Sus scrofa: one gene and its partners. The protein of the gene in region 3 interacts with the protein of the main gene of each other region in a pairwise test. Links are inferred from orthologs where the notes say so. Each region holds a gene or a part of one and is shown on either strand. Other genes may lie near its edges.

Region 1 (7,025 bases), on a different chromosome or scaffold from region 3:
CCAGCCTTGGACGGACAGCCCTGACTCTGGAGCTGACGCTCCACCTGCCTCCCCCACCCTGGGCTACTTGCCATCCCCACCTGTACCTGGGCAGGACTGGTGCACCTTCTGCCAGCACCGGAATTGACATGAAAACCCTGATCCTGCCCTGGAAACCGCAAACCCCCCCCCGCCCCGGTCGTCTCAGGAAACGGAAGCTCCAGCCTTCTGCTTTTTCTGGCATCCGTCTCCTTTCTCACACCCCGATTCCAAGCCCGCTGACTGACCGGCTCAGCTGGCCTCTGCTGCCCACGCTGAGCCCCGCCAGAGCGAGGCTTCTCGAGCAGAAGCCAGCTTGTCCCTCCCGCCCCCGAGGCTCCCCAAGTCACTCAGCTGACGCTCAGTTCACACGCTCCACCCCAGGCCTCTCCTCCCGGCCCGAAAGTGCGTCCTGAGCAGGTCCTCCCTCCTGCTGTCCCGTCAGGTCTGTTCACTGGCCGTCTCCCTCGCAGAAAGGACAGCAGAGATGTGTGTTCTCACCACTGAATCCCCAGCCCTCAAAAGGGTCTAGCACACAGTGGATGCGCATGAATCTTTGCAGAGACATGAAGGCTATTTCCCGACCTCCAAGACCTGCGTCCTCAGAAAGGCAGCAGGGGCCTGGCGATGGACCAGGAGCACCCCCACCTCCACCCCCGCCACCAGCGGTAAGACCCAGCCCGCCTCTGCCCTTTATCAGCCCACAGGGCTCCACGTGCAGGGGGCTGGGTCTCACTCCAGTAAACATACATTCATAGCCGTGCCTCGGAACGCTCAGGAAATGGTTATAAAGCTGCAATTTCTTCCTCAGGCACTGCTGCAGGTCTTGGAGATCAGGGCACGAAGTGACTGCAAAACTGGGTGTCAGAGCAGGAAATAAACATGTATACACGTCAACTGGAGAAAGGACCATGGGGGGGCAAATGAGCGGGAAAGGTGAGGGGCGGAACACCAGCAGTCACTTTGGATGGCCTTGGGAGTGACACTGGAACCTTGCAGGAGTTGAGGAACCAACGGGAAACCCTTGCAAAACAGCAAGTGCTGAAGCTGAGGCCAGGTGAGCTCACTGGGGCACAGGAAGTGAACGGCAGAGGCCCCTGCCTCCCGTCTTTTGGGTCTGGGGAGGACTTGGCTGCAGGGACCTGTGGAGAGGCATGCACACATACTCTGGCTTCAGACACCCTCACCTGCACTGCCCCTCACAGCAACCCAAAAGGGCTTCCTTCTAAGCCAGAGTGGGTCACCCAGATTGGCAATGAATGACTGGCATGAGCCTCATCAAAGAGGGCAGGTCACTTCCAGGGCTGCTCTCAACTCACCACACCCCCTCCTCCTGCCCCCCCACCCCATTGTCTGCTGAGTTGAGGCAGAGGGAATTACGGAGCGTTTGCACTTTACTTCTGACCCTGGTGAGAAAAGTGGCTCCAGGGGGGATTGACTGGAACATTTATCTGAAGAAATCAGTCATCAGCAGTACGTTCACTACAAAATAATTTATTGCAACACACAGCTAAAGCCCTAGCCTATGTACAAGCACATGCACACCCCTGCCCGGCAGCTAGGGGGCGCGTTTCTTCCCCGTGCCTTGCGGACCTCTTCTATCAGATCTTTGAGATACTGAATCTCCTTGGCCAAGGAATCTGCCTTCTCTTTCAGAGCTTCGTTCTTCTTTTCCAGCTCTTTACATTCGCCAGTGAGGGCCTCCTGCTCTGCCCTCTTCTTCTGGCGGTACCGAGTGGCTGCTGTCTTGTTCTGCTCCATCTTCTTCAGCTTCTTATCTAGTTTCTCACCCTTTACTTTTGCTGCTACCACCTTCTCTCCAGGAGGATCATAGGGTTTGGGCCGGACAGAACCACAAGGGGCCCCGGGAGAGAGCAAGCTCCTACTTGGAGAGGCCCTGGAGGTGGAGGGACTGTGCTGGGGAGAGCCCAGATAGGAGTCAGGGCTCATACAGATGCCACTGTCATTATCTGAGGGGGCATCCTCTTCCTTTATGCATTGAGGAATCAAGGTAATGTAAGTAGTGGAGTCTGGCTTCCTATCTCCTTCCGAGATTTCCACTTCACCCTGTATCTCTAAACTAAAGGAATTATCTGGAGTGGAAGACAGGGCCCCTGGGGAAAGGGGAAGAGTTTGCAAGAACGTAAAGGGGGCAACCTGGTCAGTTGTTGGTAAACTTTCTGGGAGATGGCCAATTGGGTTCACTATCTGCGGGGGCTCCTGGAGTGGGGGGTCAAAGAGATCACATGTGTCATCCAACGTGGCCAAAAGCTCATCTGGCATGGTTTCCAGGTCATCTATACCCAACAGGGCATCGAAGTCGAACTCCTTCAGATCCATTTTCTCCACCATCCAGTCTGTCCCGGAGAAAGCATCCTCTGCAAGAGATTTAAGAGGGACGGAACCCAGAGTCAGATGCACGCGGCAGCAAGGCTTTATCACCAGACCCCACCGGCAGGGAAAAGCCCACTCACCCTTGCTGTTGTCTGAGGCACTGACCAACCCATCCACAGCCAGCCATTCGGAGGAGCCCGCCTTAGCTTTGTCGCCGGAGAACCCATGAGGTTTGAAGTGCTTGGCCACCTCCAGATATTCGTCTAAGAGCCCTAAGCTCTCTTCAGCCCCCAAACCCGACGGGTCGAAGGGGGACATCAAGTCCCCCACCAACACCTCGCTGCTCAGGAAGCTCATCTCGGCCATGTTGCGGAGTTTTGATGGAATCGAGGAATGTGCTTAATTCGAAGGTGTCTTTGTCGGTTACAGCAACGCTGCTGCTGAATGCCGTGAGAAGCCTTAACAGGAACCAGAAACCAAGCCCCATTAGAGAACAGCTGGTCTGAGCCTTTCGCCTCTCCACCCCCGGGGCAGGACGGCCAAATCCCGACCCCGTGTGGTTGTTGAGACTTGGGGGCCGCTGGCCCCGGCTGCCAACCTTCCCCGCGTCCGCCTGGCGGCGCAAGATGGACGCCCGGCCGTTCCCCGACCCGCCACCAGAGGAAGGCGCCCGGTCCTCCCGGCCGAGTCCGGCCCCGCCCACGCCCGCCCGTGACTCACGCCGCGGCCGCCGCCCTGCCCCGCCGCCATCTTGGCTGCTGCCACGTTTCGTGGAGCCCCAGGGGGAGCCCCGGCCCCCCGGCCGGGGCCGGAGGTACCGAGGACTTCGCCCCACGCCCGAACAGCGCAGCGGCCTCTCGACCCAGGGGCGCTGGCGCTTCGGCGTCACCCCATCAGCGGCCACGCGTCCCGGGCGCTCGTAAAACCGCTTCCCCCTCCGCGACGCCGCCGGACCGCGCCCCAGCATCAGACAAGAACCCTTCACCGACCCGGGGGGACACGGCCCAGAGCGTCGGGCCCCGGTACTTACGCCATGGCTTAAGCCGCTGGGGGGTGCCGCTGCAGAGCCTGGTGCTGCTGCCGCCGCTGCAAAGGCCAATGCTGCCGCAGGCACTGCTGCCTCTAATACGCCATGGCGGCCGCGGACCCTGCGGGAGCGGAGGAAGAAAAGCGCCCACTCGCAGAAAAGGACTACATCTACAGCGGAGAGGAAAAGAAATGGCGGCGGTTCGCCGAGCGCGGGTCCTTTATAGACTCTGCCTCTGTGGGACGCATCACAGAGAATATTCTTCCGCCTAGGTCACGTGACCAGCGCCTCCCACCCACGCGCTTTCATTTAACCGACGCCCCTACCATTTCCAGTCTCTGACTTTTATGTCGAGGGCGAAACTGTGAGGACCAAATGAGTTACTTTTATTTACAGCCTCAAAAAAGGGCGCACTACTTTACAAGGCTTTTGAGATCTAAGGATCACCACCGTCCGCTGCCGGGATGCGCGGAAGGATCTTGCACAGCTACTTCCGGTGCTAGCCCGAGAGGCGGAGACGAGTCTTTCACCCCAAGAAGGGCTTTTATTGTGAAGTACGAGGTCTCCTGGTTATCGCGCGAGCTACTGGCGGAGAGCGCGCGTCGAAATGATTGGTTAGGCATGGTGAGTCATATATACATCGAGTTTCTATTGGCTCAGGCTCCGAGGCGGGCGGGTTGTTCAGCGAGGGAGCCCCTGATCTGCGCGGGAAGGTGGGTGAGGTTCCCGCCGCCGGGCCCCGGCGTCCTGCTCGCCGTAGCGCCGCTCTGCAAAGGCTCCCTCAGCCCCGCCCACCCAGCTGGCCTTGATTGCCCCGGGCAGCCCTGGCCCAGATCCAAATAGTGGCGTTAGGTCCGAATCCTCGTGGTCCTTTCCTGCCGCCCTTGGAGAAGCTCCGAACTAGGGACCGGGTTTAGGCCCGAATGTGAAACTAGTCAAGAGTAAATGTTATTTCGTCTGTTTTCACTTGCACACACTTGCAGAATACTGAGGACGTGTGAACCCTTCAGTAACTGGAAGGGGAGACTGATGACCTCAGCTGAGATCCACCTACCATCAAAGGCCTGCTCTGCGTCCTGACTCAACTCTGTAGAGGCGAGTCGAGTGGAGGAAATCCATAATCCTGTGGTCTAAACAATTGTATTTTTACATATCCATTCTGCTAAAATACAAGTTTCCTTTTATGTTAAAGAATGAAACCTATGACAGGGGAACTTCTTTCAGTTTATGTAGTTTCACTTCCCCTAAAAATGAGGTATTTTATTTAGCTGCTCTTTCTCACTCTAGGGTAGTTTCAATTATTTACCAACTCTGTAACTCCGCGGCATAACCACTTCCCAGCAAGTCCTACTGCCTGGGTGCTTGATCAGACCTGCCCACTTAGGGGAATTTGTGTGTTTGGAGGCCACAGTCCAGGTTAGGGCCAGTAACTTGCCCTCTCTACTGGGGAACTGTCAAGAGCTAGGAGAAAGCTCTTTCACCATCTTCCAGTCCTCCAATCAGGCCCTGTAGGGAAACCTTGAGTTTCCACTCCCCTTCATTTCAGTGGGCCCTACAAATATTATTTCTATGAGGACAGTGAGGTCAAAAATTGGTCAGGCACTTCCTACATAACAACTAACCATTCATTGATTTGAGTCAGTCTAGCCCAACCATTTCTTTACAGTGGTAAGCTGATGACTAAAGGCATGACATGTCTTGCCTGGTGTGGGCAGTATGGGGTAGGAGTTATGACAGATTTAAGGGCCAATTCCAAAAAATCTTGGCTTTCCCATTTATTAGTGGAGACATTCTGGTTAAGTGACTTACCCCCACTGAGTCTTCGTTTCCTGATCTGTAAAACGAGGCTAATGATGGGTATCCTCATCCTTAGAATGAAGTTAAGATAATATATTCACAGCACTGAGCCGTGCGCCTGGTACCTGGTAAGTGCTGGATAAATGGTTGCCATTACTCCTGTGACTAGAACGCAGGTCTTCTAACCCACCTCCCATCCCCATCATATCCTGCTCCCTCAGAGGACTGTTATTTACTGAGATGAAATCAACAACTATAAACAGCTGGTCTAGGAAAGCATACTGGATACTAGGTATGGTTTTTCTTTCCCCTTGGGGAATCTCAATTCTCTGGAAACATGTACAAGGCATCTGGTCTTTTGGTGCAAAGACAGTAAGAATCCCGAGCCACTACCCCCGAGCCACTACCCAAGTCTTCCAAAGGTGTCATTAAGGAGCCACGGGGCATGTCCTCCTCTCTGCTGTATGGGAGACTTGTCAGTGCCTCTTGATGGATGTCCATGCAGATGCTTAAGAAGTAAAGTAACACTGCCCCAATTGGACACCGTAGGAGTGGAATAACCCCATCCGTTCTATTATGGAGACCCCAAGCAAGCACTCTGATGCACCAGTACCACTCACGTAGGAAACTATTTCCCACCACACACACGAGTCAAAGCTGTTGGAAAGGAGACGTTTCTTTTCTTTCCAGGTTGTGGAAGGGCAACGTGTCCCCCAGCTTTATTTCCTCCCTCAAGGAGAAAAAGGATAGTAGTTTTCTGGGTCTTGGGGCTAAGCTGCTTCTATATGGACAAAACAAGGAAGACTGATGACTGATTCCAAATCTATCAGCTAAACACATCAACTGCTCACTGAAGGGCAGATTAGTGACTGGGAGGCAGGTTGTGGACTTGGTTGCAGGGGCCAAGAAAATACAGATTATGAGGCGATCAGAAGGAAAAGGTAAACAAGCTGCATGCAGTTAACTCCAGACCCCACATCTCTTGTTATTTGGCCACCTAGAATCAGCAGCATCTGGAGGCTCAGCAGGTTAAGGATCTGGCGTTGTCACAGCTGTGGCTCAGCTCACTGCTGCTGTGCAGGTTTGATCCTGGGCCTGGCCTGGGAACTTCTGCAGGCTATGGGCCTGCCCTCCACCCAAAGACAAAAAAAATTTCAGAGGGCTACTTCTCACAGCTCTAGTCTGAAGTGTTTCTTACCATTCTCTTTGGCCTTGAGCTTCAGCACAAGGGGCAGAGTTCTAACACATCCTGTGAGGACAGAAGTTCTCAGCCAGGGCCACAGTCTCAGATGTGCCACAACTGGCAGCAATCGGGATACAGGGGATTCCCTACTTCCACAACCCTCCTGGGGCCTCTGCGGGGCCTTCTGATCCTGAAGCTGATTCGTCAAAACCATCTGAGCTCTCAACCTGAATAGAGCGCAAGGGAGCAAAACCAGCTCATCTGTGGAGTGTGAACAGGAGGCCCATGAGGGGCTGAGCCCTGGAGACTGCAGGCTTCACAACACAACTTTTCCCACCATGAACTTCAATTATTCCTTTATTTGAAGAAAAAAAAAAAAGTCACAACCAAGTGTATAAAGAAAAATACTGTTGTCCTGAACTCATGTTTCAGGAATGGGCAACAGAGAAAACCAAAATACACTTTGAAATTGATTAGGTTTTTGATATGAGTATTTTTTAAGCATTAGGCTATGTGGTTTTCTAACCTAGATGGTGCAAAAAATTTCCAGAGGGAGAAGTAGGAGCAGATGCTATTACTTCAGGCAAAGGTGGGAGTTACTGAGTGGGAAGGCAGAAAGGTGGGGAAAGGCCCCACATCTTCCCCCAAAGATTAAAAAAAGTGAAT
Region 2 (7,170 bases), on a different chromosome or scaffold from region 3:
ACTACTATGGGGGACCCCTCACACCAGTCAGAATGGCCATCATTAGTAAGTCTACAAATAGCAAATGCTGGAGAGGGTGTGGAGAAAGGGTACCCTCCTACACTGCCGGTGGGAATGTAAATGGGTACAACCACCATGGAAAACAGTATACAGGCACCTCAGAAAACTAAATATAGAAGGACATTTTGACCCAGCAAACCCAGCATTGGGCATATAGCCAGACAAAACATTCCTGGAAAAAGACACATGCACCCCTGTATTCCTTGCAGCACTAGTTACAATAGCCAAGAAATGGAAACAACCAAATGTCCACTGAGAGATGAATGGATTAAGAAGAGGTGGTACATGTACACAATGGAATACTACTCAGCCATAAAAAAAGAACACAATCATGCCATGTGCAGCAGCAACATGGATAGAAAAGGAACATTCATCCTTAGTGAAATAAGTCAGAAAGAGAAAAACAAATACCATATGATATCACCTATATCTGAAATCTAACAAATGGTAAAAATAAACCTTTTCATAGAAAAGAAACCCATGGAATTGAAGAACAGACTTGTCAAAGGGGAGGGGGAGGGAGTGGGGATGACTGGGAGTTGGGGGTTCATAGATGCCAACTATGGCATCTGGAGTGGGTAAGCAATGAGATCCTGCTGCATAGCACAGGCAGTGCTATCTAGTCACCTGTGATGGAACATGATGGAGGATAAATGGACAAAAAGGATGTGTGGATAGAGATGTCAGCCTGGGTCACTTGGCTATAGGGTAGACTGAGCACTGCAAGTCAACTACAATGGGAAAGGAATCATTTTAAAAAAAAAATCACAATTACCAGCTGAGGGCTCACTAGAGACGGTATCTGGGTCCAGACTCCTGCCTCTCAAGAAAAAACAGGCCATCTGACCCCATCGAAACTGTCAAGCTTTCTCACTGCTGTGACACACGACCAGGCTGCAAATCCACATCAAATGCTGAAGGAAACACCCCTGTGTCCTTGCCTGACCTGAGGCATCTTGGGCCAGAGAGTCACAGGTGCCTGGAAAACAATCCCGAATTTCTGGGTGCTGCTGAGGCTTCCGACAAATGCATCATCAGCCACATCTCTGAGCCTGGACCCTGCCGCCTTGGAGCTGCACATGGGTCCGCAGGAAGGTACTCTGACGCCGTCTTGTGGACATCGGCCCTAACAGCAGCTCTCGTGCCTGCCTTCCTCCTGTCTGCTCAGCTCTCCTGGGGCTGCACTGGAGTTGGGCAAGCCTGCGGCTTTCCCTTGAGACTTCCTCTCCCTCTGAACGCCATGAAGTGCCCTAGGAAGTGGGGGATTTCTCTCTCAAAATCTCTCGGGGCACTCAGCCCAACTTACCCAAGGCTATTGTGTCCACTCTGCTGTAACCCTAACCCCACCCACTGTGCTGTGGGAGCCTTTTTTCTTCCTTCACATAATAATTACCTGGAGTGATTATCTCTGGCGTATGAATTTATTAATTTCTTACATCTTCATTGATTTATTCTCTGATTTATTTTTCTGGACCCACTTGTGGCATGCAGATATTGTCTGGCCAGGAACTGAATCCACCCCAGGGCTGTTACTACCCCAGGCTCGTACACACAACCCTCTGCCACCACAAGCATCATATCGGAAGAGCCTTTTTCATGCCTTTCTCTGTCAATTCACTTAGCTACTATGTAGGGATATCTATATGTATGCACTGACTTCATCAATTTATCGCCTTCTTCAAAATATTTACTTTTCTTGATTCATTTACTTGGGTGCCACCTGCAACATCAGGGAGTTGCCCAGTCAGGGTTTGATCTCCCTATGCAACTCTCACCATAGCCACAGACTCTTAAGGAAGCCAGCCACGAGGGAACTCTCTGAGAGCTTTCTTGGTATCAATCAACCCTGCTTAATTCATCAGACCTGGGTTCGGTCAGGCCTCCTTCCCTGGAGCGGTCACTGTAAAGGGAGACTCGTGTGGCAAGGCAAGAAAGACATTTCACTAGGTCTCATGAGCAGAAAAAGCACAGGGATTAGCACAACCACCCACCACAATGCCACCGAAGTCCACCATCCATTCATCAGCACCAGCCTCTATCCAGAGAGCTAAACCCTTGGCAGTCAGGGGCTTGAAAATGGACAGTTCATGATTCAAAACAGAGGCTGTGTGGGTTCTGGCTCCTGGCCTGGAGGAACACAAGGCGCTCTGAAACCCAGTGGATCACTCAAGCATTATAAACACACTGCCACCTGGCCAGGCAGCAAATGCACACACATTAAATGCTAAAAGGACAGCTGTGTGCTCTGCCTGACGTGAGGCAACTTAGAGCAGAGAGTCCCAGATACCTGGAAAACAACCCCAGATCTCTGGGTGCTGGCTGGGGTTTCCCACAAACACATCATCAACCCCAACGCTGAGCCCCGACATGCAGCCTTGGAGCTTGCCCTTGGGTCTGGAAAGTACCCTGGCACCGTCTTGTGGTCATCTGCACTAACAGCAACTCTCAGGTGTTCGTCCTCCCTCTGGCTGAGCAGCCCCCGGGGGCAGCTTTGGCCTTGGGCAACACACTGGTTGGATTGCCTTCCTCTGCTTTCTTGAAATATCAAGAAGGGCCCTACCAAGTGGGCTATTTCTCTCTCAAAGGCTTTCAGAGCCCTGAGGCCACCCTACCCGATGCCACAGCTTTTAAACACTCAGCTCCCGACCCATCATGTGCTGACAGCCTTCTTCAATTTTTCATATATTCACGCAGGTGTGTGTTTTTGAATATATTTGTTTACATATGTAATTATTGACTTATTTTCTTACCTTTCCAACTATTATTCATTAGCTCATAGGTCTTTCTTCCTTTGTTCTACCTTTCTTACATTTTTTTCTTTCACTGGAGTGACTTACCCTACTGTATGGAGCCCAGTGGCTCCCAAATGTCGATTCCTTGCTCCAACCGCCAAGAGCTGGGGCAGCCAGGGCCACTTTAGGGAATTTTGAAAGGAAGATGCTCAGGACAAGTGGTCCTGGCAGCTGCTAGGAACTCACCAGAAAACTCCCCAACTGGGGCCAGCTGGTCACAAACAGCAAGGCTCCTGGCTGGCTCACCAAAACCTGTTGCCGAACCCAAGTTTGCTCTGCTCACTGTACTGCTCAGGCCAATGAATTCTAAGAAGAGTTGTTGGGGCGATGCATAGCTACTTTAATTAGAAAGCTAGCAGATGGAGAAGACGGCAGGCTAGTGTCTTGAGACTTGCCTCAGTCTTAATTCAGGCTCTTTTAATACTGAGAAAGGGGAGGGGCAGGGGCCAATGGTCAGCCACTGTCACTTGCTGGGGGGACAGGCTCACTACAATGCTGACCAATGGCTGAAGAGGACCACTAAATGTCGCTCACTAATGGTTGCTCACTTACACTCTGACCCCAGCCCCTTTATCCCTGACTCTAACCTCTAAGGCCAGGCAGTCTGTACAACAGGATGGGTTAGGGTTTTAAGGGTCACTTGAACCTTTGCTCTACCCTTATCTTGCACAGGTCAGTTCACCATCAAAGAAGTAGCCCCAGTAACATGGAGATTATGGCCCACTTTGCCAGTTTGGATTGGTAGTCCATGACTTGAACAACCGTCAAGGGTGGCAATGGTCATGGGCTCAGCTACTAATTCCTACTCCTTTCCCTGACCTTGATACTGACCCTAAAAATGAAAGGTGACTCTCGTCTGACATTGACTCTTGACCCTTTCCCTGACCCTCGTCTCCTACTCAGACTCTTACTTTGATGCTGAGACCAGCTCAGTGAGTGGAGGTGAAGGACGGGTGCTGCAAAGCTTAAGAAATGTTCATCGGAAACAAAGAAAGACACAGAGACAGGGTACAGTTAAAGATGGGACCAGGGGACGCAAGACCTCATGCGTCAAGAGCCCTGAATGCCGACGCCTCATCGTCTTTATTATGCTCTCAGGAAGGTAAACAATGTGAGAAAATAGACACCCCAAGGCCCTCGGCCTCCAGTCACCTTGAATTTGAACTCCGACCTTTACTCTAAAGGGCATCAATGAGGCTGGTGTTAGCTATCTAGGCATAACATCTTGAGGAACAATCAGTGTTTTCTCAAGCAGTTTTCTGACTTGAGCTGACCCGGTTTTCCAAAGTCAACACCTTGTCCTCTCAGTTAATGCCTAACTTGCTGAGCCAGGTCCCTCTAGCCCCTTATGGTTTCCTTGGGGTTTAGAAAACACATCCGGAAGATTTCTCCCCACACCTTGAGCCTTAATCCTAATGCTTACTCTGTGACTTTTCGTAACCTTATCCCTATCGAGGACGCTTAAGTCAGCTCTAGGGCAGGGCTTTGCACAGGTAGCACTCAAAACTGCTCCTCACACCTGGTTGTTCCTGCCACCTGGAATCCTGAGCAACAGGTGAGGAAAACGTGACGCTGGAGGTTTTGGAACAGGATTTGCGCACGACGAGGCCAACTCACCGCCCTGCTGTAAAGCACCCAGGACGCGTCTGAGGGAAAACCGGAAATTCCTCTTCCGGGTGCAGAGACAGGAATGAACTGAGACCCCCACGCCAAGCACTGGCACTGTCCCCGAAGCGCGGGCGGCGTCCCCTGGGACGCACCCTCAGGAGACCGCCACACGCCCGCAGGCCCCTGGCTCCTCCATCGACCAAGCGCAAACCCAAGCGCACGCGACCCTCGCCTGCTCTGCGCAGAGTCAGGGCCAGACGCTCAAGCATGCGCACTGGCGCGAGCCCACGGTCTCCCCGCGGCCCCCGCTCGAGGAAACGGGCATTGCGCAGGCGCACAGAGGACGCCCCGCCCCCGGCGCGGCGCCAGACGCCGGGAGCCAGCGACCTGAGAGGAGATGGCGGGGCGGCCGGGGCCTTCGAGCGAGGAGTCCGCGGGAGCCCTGGGCCGCGCTGGCGAGGCAGGAGGTAGCTGGGCCCGGTGGCGGCCTCTGACCCGGCCTCCGGAGGGAGCCAGGCTGCCAGGGGCCGGGCGGGGAGCGCGTGCGGGCGCCTCTTCCTCAGGGCGGGGTCGGTCGTGAGGAAAAACGACTGTCGCCCCGCTGGAAGGGTCTGGGCGGCGCTACCCGGAGCGCTCCGGGGGACTCACCCGCAGGCCTCGCCTGACCTTCGCGCACTTCCCGTTGGCCTGGTCTGTCCACCCCGTTTGCTCAAGTAGCTCAGAGGAGTCAGGGGACACGGTTTCGATCTGGTCCCGGGGCCCCCACACCCGTGGGCCCGCGTCGGTCCCGTCACTCGTCCCACAGCCCGCACACATCTGCCTTCCCAGCTGCCCCGTAGTGGTTCTCCTCGGGGGAGTTTTTCCCCCGGACGAGGGTCCGGACGGCTCCACACGGCATTACCTTTTCTTTCGTCTTGACACTGATCCGCCGCGTGTTGGCTCCCACCTCACCAGGAAGCGGGTGGGGGAGCACGGCAGCTCCTTCAGTTAAAAAGTTCTGCAGGGACAGCCTGGGGTAGAGGAGAGATGAACAGTGTTCCTTAGACGTTTTCGCCCCGGTGTTTCACAGAACCGGAGGGACCTGTACAAGGAACACCCATCCCTCAGCTTGTTTACTCTCTGCTCTCCTTGGCTCACCCACCTCCCTCCTTAAGATTCAATCATGAACATGTCTTGGTGACACTTTCAGACCTGCCGTTACCAGTGCAGCTTTGGTACATTGGTAAGGGCTCCATAACGTTTTTATAAAATAAAGGTCTAAGTAATTAAAGAAACAGCACAGAAAGCTTGATTGGAGCACAGTGTGGCACCTGGTGACAACTCTCAGCTAAGGACAAAGAAAAACAGGGCAGATGCATATAGTTCCCTTTTCTTAAGCACCTACCGTGGCCACCACTGTACTAAAGAAACCTCTTAGTATTGCTCTTCCAAATTTCTCAAATAAGACAACATATTTAGATGAATGTTTAATCAGTTTCACCAGTGTCTTATAACTGGTGAAATACCATATCCCATGTGGCTTAGAAACTTAGGAATTTTACAACTTCACTCTTTCCTGGAGGATCACACAAAACATATAGATGCATGGACTACGTAGTCACTGGAGCCTAGATGGCGGTAGGAAAACATGGGGAGGGAACAGCTAAATCCCGAGGTATTTCTACTGGGAAATACCTGTAGAGTGGATTTCTGAAATGAGGAAGAAATGGAATTAAAATTAAGGTAACTATGTCAACTTTTAAATTATTAGATGTATTTACACTGATACAGCATGATTTTCAAAAAGGATATTTTTATGAGAGAAAAGCAAGAAAAATTATAATTATAGCACTATGTAGGTTGCACAGAAAGATGTCTGGAGGCTGCTTTCCTAATTGATGGCTCCAAGGAAGGGACTTGGATTTTGAGGGCAATGCAGAGGTAAAGGAACATTTTTAACCTTAATATTTGTATTTTCTACTAAGAATATGTAATTAATACTAGTGGAAATTTAAAATGTAAAAGTAGGGGACATTTTTAAAATGCCATTTGAGGATTGTATGTTAATATCTATCACTGTTGTTCTCTCAGTTTTAATTGTTATACTGAGGTTATTACTATATAGGAGAGTGTCCCTGTACTTTAGAACTTCACAACAGAATATTCGGGGTAATGAAGCATTGTATCTGCAACTCATTCTCAAGGTTCAGAAAGAGTAGCAAATGGAAGATTTGGGATGAAGGGCATAAAGGAGCTGTATGTCCTATTCTTAAACTTTATTATGGAAAAATTTAGGCATATGCAAGAATGCACAGGCACATGAAAAGATGCTGAACATTGCTAATATAGAAAGAGAAAACTACAATGAGGTATCACCTCACACTAGTAAGAATGTCTATCATAGTCTACAAATAAATGCTGGAGAGGGTGTGGAAAAAAGGAACCCTTCTACACTGTTGGTGGGAATATAAATTGGTGCAGTCACTATGGAGAACAGTAGAGAGGTTCCTTAAAAAACTATAAATATGGTTACCATATGATCCAACAGTCCCACTCCTAGGCATGTATCTGGAAAAAAATAAAACTAATTTGAAATGGTATATGCACCCCAGGGTCACAGCAGTACTTTTTACAGTAGCCAAGACATGGAAGCAACCTAAATGTCCATGGACAGATAACTGGATAAAGAAGAGGTGGTGCATATATATACATGACTGAATAATACTCAGCC
Region 3 (7,242 bases):
TAAATATAATCTTTGTGTAACACTGACTTAATGAAAAACATTTTCAGCTTTTTTTCCCCTAAGAATTGTCAACATCTTTTTTATAAGTGTGGTTTAAAACAAAAAACAAAAAACTACTTTACAGAACGATCCGTGGCTTTATAAAATAAAGGTATTTCTAAACAAAGCAGTTGCATTGATTGCTTCTCTTAATAACTGTCCTCAAGCATGTGGGGGTCCCAGCAGCCCCAGGCAGGTGAGGGAAGAGACTGGCCTGTACAAGTGGATATGAAACAGCTAAGTGCATGGCCTCTGGTTCCTTAGAGTTCTGATTCCTCTTGAGTCAATATGATGAACCCCATTTCCACCCCTGAGGCTGCATACCAATGACAGGAGCTGGGCTGCCTGGAGGGACCGGCGGACTCGTGCACAAAGCAGGAAGGGGGAGCACCTTGTCACCCCAGGAGGAGCGCCCTGAACCTTGCAAGGGCATTAGCACCAAGGCTGGAGGATAGCAGCATCCAGGCCACATCCCCCTAACATCCCACGACAGGGAGCCTCCAACTGTGCTGACTACATGACTGCTTTCCCTCCTGGCCCAGCCCTGCATCCTCCCCACTGTTCACATCTGCATTAGACACTCGTGCCTTTCTCTGGAGAGGGTTTGGATGCAGACCTCAGCCCTGGAGCTTCGGAGTGCTTGCCCTTCTTCAAGGATCCAGTGTTTACTGGGGTTCACCTTCGTTTTCTCAAAAGGCCATCCCATCATGTCCCTGAGGAATGCATTTGTAGAAGAAGCCTTGGGGTGTGGAGCTGTGATTTTCTAAACCTCTCTCCCAAGATCTTAAAAAGACAAGGCTGCCGAAGTGGGTCACTCAGGAGAAGACATCACTGTACCTGTGCTCGGCATTGCAGACTTGCCTGGGGCTCACAGTCTCCCCTCACTGCTCTCTCCATCACTGGTCACCTGCTGCCCCCAAGCCCACGGCCAGCGGGTCAGACCCTCAGAGACACAAGAGGGCCTTGCGGAGAGGGCTGCTTCTCCATTTTTCCCCAATACAACGTGGCTGGAAGAGAAGATAACTGCTTTGACACTCCCTTTCTCTAAAGGAAATATAGTTTGATAGTATATTTTGAATATAGATGTTCTTATAGTCAGACTGGGACCCAAACTTGAGTGTTGATTCATATGTTCGTGCTATCGCTGTGGTCTTCTTATCATAACTTTTTCCTTTCTTCCTACATGTTCCTTTAAAAAAAAAAAAAAAAGATGGCCTTTGAAAGTGTGTGTCCTCAGTGTCCTATGAACCTACTTAAACTGAGTTTGGTGATTGTCTCTCTTCAAAGACTTCAACCTACAAAGAAGCAGGTTACACATTGCTCTGAGATTCATTTCCCAGCATCCTGCTGTCTGGTCTCTCAACCTTATCATAATATTTCTGTCTGTGATGGCTTTTAATATATCAATGTGTGTGTATATATAGAGAAAGAAATCTGTAAAGTAAAATTTATATATAATATATGTAATCAGAGATACATATGTTATATATATATATATATATATATGTGGGATGTATGACTTATTTTTCCTTATCCACAGAATTCAGCTACCATGTATATATAAATAAACTTATTTTATTAGCCAGAGGATTAAGTTGCTAATACATTTCGCATTCTTTTAATTTTTAAATAACTTTTAAGTCTTCCTTTAGTACCGACACCACCTGTCCATCTGTTTGGTTTTTTTTTTTTTTTCATTTATTTTAACAGTATGTGGGGTTTTATCAATGTGATAAGCTAATGGATTAGCCATTTATCATCTGGGGAAAAAAAATCCCTTAGAACATGTTTTCTCCCCAGAAAAGTCATGTATCTCCAGGTCTTTGGAGACATTAGTGTCAAGATATAGCCCTCCTCATCCTCCCGTTTCCTGGACTCAGGGCTGTATCTGCAGTCAGAGAAATCCAAAGGCAACCTTGCCACTGAGTGTCACCTTTCCATAGAGTAACAGTGACTAAACATGGCACCTCTGCAGACAAATTAATCAATGGCTGGAGCCCTCCATTTAGTCTTGGACACATCCTGAGATTCCTGCAGCTCCTGGGACCTGTCAGCATCACCTGTTTTAGGTGATGTCATTATAACTCAGACTGGTGGGATACAGGGTCTTTCAGGGTGCACCAGAACTGGTGTTCACAGCAAGAAGGCCAGGGGGCACTGCCAGCCTTTACTTGATCAGGTTGATTCCTTAATCTGTTAATCACATAACAACATTTGATATTTGTGAAGTACTTTCCATGACATCTCAATTAGAAAAAGTAGAAGGAGGGAAAAAAAGGAAGAGCACATGGAGTATTTCAGTAGGGATCAGGGTTTTTATCTCTGCCTGTGTGACCTTGGGTAAGTACCCTGTTCTCTGGGTGTTGGGAGACAGAGGGAGTCCTAGATAACTTCTCATCCCAGCTCTGCTACTTTCTGGGCAGGGGCCCTTGGGAAAGTCACTGCAGCTCTCATCACACAAGGAAGGATAGCCCATCTCAGGACGTGTGATGCTACTTCTGGAATTGTGCAGTGTGCAGCCCCAGCAGCAGTGCATGTCAACCCCGAACCTACCTCCTAAGGTCGAACTAAGAAGTCAGTGAAGTAAGGTGTGGAAATCTTCACAGCACTGATGGGTTCAGCACTCACAAGCAGCCGACCCTTTCCCCTTCTCTCCTCAAGGTATGTTCTCACGTTCCAGGATCCGGGATAAATATCCATCTCTGGGTTTTGGCTACTTCATTCCTCTAGGGTTAAACTTAAATGCAGTGGTTAGGTCCATTTTGTTATCCTGGGGGCTGCAGGATACTTTTTGGCTGCCTAGGGCATGAATTAAAGCCCAGTGTGTGTCATACAGTCCTAACTTAGAGCTCCCTTAAAGATCTTACCAGAAAACCTCTTTATTTTTATTAGTTTTCTGGCAGATGGGAAAACAGAGGTGACAGGAACATCCAGAACATAATAGGTGGCCAACACACGTGAGGCCTGAATTTGCCCACAGTCCCTTGTCTAGTGCATTAGAAAGTAAGGTCTAGAGGGTGAAGCAGTGTAACCAAGGTCAAGCAGCTGATGAAGGCAGGGCTCAAGGGGAGAAAGGGGATAGGGAGCGACCTGAAGCTGCGGCAGGGGACTGAGGGAGGGTGGAGGGAGCAAGGCACTTAGTTTGTTTCTCTTGAGTCCCTGGGGCTGCCTTGGGCATGGCTGGTTCACAGCCTTCTACAGCCACGTTTCCACACCCACACCCACAGCACAGGGAAGGATGTAGAAAGCCCTGACTCCAGCCCTAAACCCCTAGAGTCAGTCCTGGCTCAGCCACTCATGACACTTGTGAGCTGAGGCCTCAGTTTACTCATCCATGAAGTAGGGCTGCTGTGTGCCTGCCTGGCCCTCTCTTAGACACTGCAATACACAGGCCCAGCTGAGCCACCCCTGCAGCCTGCACTGATCCAGCTTCCCCACCACCCACAGAAAAATCTCGGAGGTCAGGCATATGACCCTGCAGAGAATGCTTGAGCGCCTCTCTGCACACAGCCCTGGGCGGGCCGCTTCCCTTTCAGCTTGGTGAATGGTGGAAACTCATGGAAAACAGCAGACAAAGCAGCCCTGGCATAGGGAAGCTTCCAGAGAGGCCCGGTCACGGGGATGCTGGGGCTGGAAACCAAAAGGCCACTGGGCTCTGTGAACCCACTAGGCACAGCAGAGACAGAAGGGGCGATGAGCACCAGGCGAGTGGTGGTGGACGTGCCCACAGGGGCCAGCCCCAGCATGCCTCTGCAGAGGCACAGGGCTTCCTTCAGGGGAGCACAGTCACCATCCTCCCTGGAGGGCCTCCCAGCCTCCAGGACCATTGCCGTGGGTGGTCTTGTCCGAACACCCAGGGTCTATGTAGGGATGACACCCAGTGGGTCCACTGGTGGCCTGGGTGCCCGGGTGACCCGCCGGGCCCTGGGCATCAGCAGCGTCTTCCTGCAGGGCCTGCGGAGCTCAGGCCTGGCCACGGCGCCCACTCCAGGCCTGGAGAGGGACCTCAGTGGCGTCGAGGACCTGGGAGGGTGCCTGGTGGAATACATGGCCAAGGTGCACGCCCTCGAGAAAGTCAGCCAGGAGCTGGAGGCAGAGCTGCGGATGCACCTGGAGAGCAAGGCCACACGCTCCGAGAGCTGGGGTGCCCTCCGGGCCTCATGGGCCAGCAGCTGCCAGCAGGTGAGTACCAGGACAAGATGCTAACAGCTGCCTCCTGCACCGTCTCTTGGGTGGGATGGGGAGGGGGGTCAATATCAGAGAGCAAGAGTGCTGAGGCAGGGGGCAGGGAAGTGAGTGGTCTGAGGCCAGAGAGACTGACCCTACACGTTCATGCTGAAAACATTAATAACTGGAGTTCCCATCATGGCACAGCAGAAACAAATCCGACTAGGAACCATGAGGTTTCAGGTTCGATCCCTGGCCTTGCTGAGTGGGTAAGGATCCAGCGTTGCTGTGAGCTGTGGTGTGGGTTGCAGATGAGGCTCGGATCTGGCATTGCTGTGGCTCTGGTGTAGGCTGGCACCTGTTGACTCCAATTAGACCCCTAGCCCGGGAATCTCTGTATGCTGCAGGTATGGCCCTGAAAAGACAAAAGACAAAAAAAAAAAAATTAATGACAATGATAACTGTAACAGCGGCTACCATTTGCTGAGGTGTACTCAGGGCGGGGCCCAGGCAGGAACTGTGTCCTCAAGTGTTCAAAGCAATGCCATGTGATGGCTCATTCATTGATTGCATTTTTAGATGAGGTAACAGAGGCCCAAAGAAGCATTGTGCTCAAAATCATGCAGCCAGTTGGAGAGGTGGAGCTGAGATTTGAACCTGAATTTTTCCAGCTCTAAAGCTTGCATTTGTCCCATCAGCCTGGGCTGACTCTATAACCCTTGTGTTAAGAGAGGAGTTTTACAGCCATCATCCAATAGAATACCACCAAATGGATGTGGCATTGGGAACAATGGCTAAATGGAGGGGTGTTCCTGTTTCTATCTCTACAGCGCTGGCCCATGGAAATTAGAGCCACGCAGAGAATTGACAAGTTTACTACACACAGTAGTTAAAGTAAAAAGAAACAAGTGAGGTTACTATTAGTATATCATATTTAACTCTATTTTAAATGTTATTTCAACATGTAATCAATATAAAAACTATTAGTGAGATACGTCACATTCAGATAGAAATTCTGCAATGATGGAAATGTCCCTATACCTGCACCGTTGTGTCTGGTAGCCACCAGCCAGCTCTGGCTATGGAGCACTTGAAGTGCAGCTAATGAGGCTGAGAAATTGACATTTTTATTTTCATTCATTTACATTTAAATAGCCACAGGTGGCCGTGGTTACCTTATTAACCAGGGCAGGGCACAGAGGCTTCCTCTCTGTCCCTTGTTTGGTCAGGACCTGCTCTCCTGGTAATTCTGCAGGGCGCTGAACTCATCTGTCACATCTGGCCTGTAGCCTGTGGTTCTGACACTGGGGCAGCAGTCAGCTCTGCACATTTCATCTCATCTGTCTCCTTTCCCCTCCTCCCACAAATGCTGGCCTTGGCATCCCTCTGAGCTAAATCAGCCTCTAGCCTGGCCAGGAACTGCCAGCTCAGACCCCTTTCACCTGGGGGCCCAGCATACAGCCCCCAGAGAGTCACAGACTTTCATTCGTGTGTGGGTGGGTAATGCTGGTCAGACACACTCATGAGCTTCCCATTTGCCCCTCCTGCCTCCCACTTCACCCCAGGATGCTTCTCCTCCCCTGCCAGCTGGTGCCAGCTACCGGCACTACACATATGACACCCAACACTGTTCTCTCGGCTCTCCCCCAGAGCTGCTGTTCTGCCTACATCTATCTGGGCTGTGAGGAGAGCCATCTCAGAGCAGTCCACGGCCTTAGACCCAGCAAGTCAAGCAGCCATTCCTCTAGTGTTCTCTCCAACAGTGCAGATTCCAAATATGCATGTCCTGTAAGCCACCAGAACACCCCTAGATAGTCCAATATCTCAGCATCTGCCAGGCAATTTCATGCACTCAGATGCTACACAGACTTTTCATGAGACGTCAGGTGTCCCAATTTGTAGGTCAAAAAGTATGGCCACAAAATAGTCTGTTCTGTCCTGGTCTGGATCCAGAGGCTTAGGCAACTTACCCAACTTCCCTGAGCCTCAGTTTCCTTATCTGTAAAATAGGTATAATAATGCCATGGATATTCCAACAAATCCATTGATAACTAAATTGTATAGGTCCTGCCTGAAGGTAGACCACAGACTAGAAAAACACACAATGAGAGCAGTATAGGTCCAATGCTATGGGCTGAACATCAAGATATCCTCCAAATGAGAGTCATTTTCCTTTTTTTCTTTTTTTTTTCTTCAAACATGAACTTGAAGATACAGCTAGACCAGCCTATAAAATGGAGTTACTTCTGTATCACACGGCCCAGCTCCAACCATGTTTAGCTCTGTTCCATCAAAAAGGACAAAAGAAAATCCTAAATATCTGGGATATACACATGATTTTTCTAATGTTGCTGTTGCACAATTAACCCATGCAGGGTACCCAACTCTGGCCTCCACACAGGCTGTGAGATGGCTTTGCTGGTAGCTGCTCTCCACCCAGTCACCAGAATGATCTTTCGGAGACATGAGCTCTGACTGCACTGTCCCTGCCCCCAAACCCTCTGGGTTCCTCCTACCAGAGAGGACACAATCCATGACCCTGCGCTGAGTCCACAAGGCCCTTCTGAAGCCACCTCTGGCCCTGCCATACCACCCACTTGGGAGGCCGTGAATATACCATGTGCCCTGGCCTCACTGCTCCTCTGAGCTGCCTTCCCACTCTTTCCATGACCTCGTGACTGCCTGTACACACATCCACTGTGGCAGCTACCAGTGGTCCTTGTCATTTGCATGACTCGGCCTTCACACTCCAGGTTCACTTGAGCAAGTGAAAAGGGCATAAACTGGGAATCAAGGGATCTTGCATTTGGATGTTGGCTCTGCTGCCTACTAGCTGGGTGGCTTTGTATCAGTTACTTAACTTCTCTGAGATTGTTTCTTCATTTGCAGTTTGGGGATCACTATATGTGCTGTGGGGGGCTATGAAGGGGGTTCACTGAATTTTATGTACTAGGTGAAATCAGAGGCTAACAACCTAGAAAGGCAGCTTCAGTCTCAACACTGCAGATACCTATGGCCACGTACGCCATCAATACT

What was found.
Region 1: the proteins of BFSP2 (region 3) and ATF4 interact in binary tests that used the Homo sapiens proteins (3 or more experiments, as listed by UniProt). The link is inferred for Sus scrofa from reciprocal best matches to the Homo sapiens genes BFSP2 and ATF4.
Region 2: the proteins of BFSP2 (region 3) and SYCE1 interact in binary tests that used the Homo sapiens proteins (3 or more experiments, as listed by UniProt). The two-hybrid records come from large-scale screens. The link is inferred for Sus scrofa from reciprocal best matches to the Homo sapiens genes BFSP2 and SYCE1.

The regions. Positions count from the first base shown.
Region 1 is NC_010447.5:8,741,472-8,748,496, forward strand, and holds ATF4 (cyclic AMP-dependent transcription factor ATF-4), read right to left. Parts: upstream 4,282-7,025; 5' UTR 3,383-4,281; intron 2,811-3,382; 5' UTR 2,719-2,810; coding exon 2,493-2,718; intron 2,397-2,492; coding exon 1,537-2,396; 3' UTR 1,493-1,536; downstream 1-1,492. UniProt on the Homo sapiens protein: Transcription factor that binds the cAMP response element (CRE) (consensus: 5'-GTGACGT[AC][AG]-3') and displays two biological functions, as regulator of metabolic and redox processes under normal cellular conditions, and as master transcription factor during integrated stress response (ISR).
Region 2 is NC_010456.5:141,733,513-141,740,682, reverse strand, and holds the start of SYCE1 (synaptonemal complex central element protein 1), read left to right. Parts: upstream 1-2,852; 5' UTR 2,853-4,857; coding exon 4,858-4,927; intron 4,928-5,361; exon of another isoform or gene 5,362-5,541; intron 5,542-7,170. UniProt on the Homo sapiens protein: Major component of the transverse central element of synaptonemal complexes (SCS), formed between homologous chromosomes during meiotic prophase. Requires SYCP1 in order to be incorporated into the central element.
Region 3 is NC_010455.5:74,554,699-74,561,940, forward strand, and holds the start of BFSP2 (phakinin), read left to right. Parts: upstream 1-3,179; 5' UTR 3,180-3,660; coding exon 3,661-4,221; intron 4,222-7,242.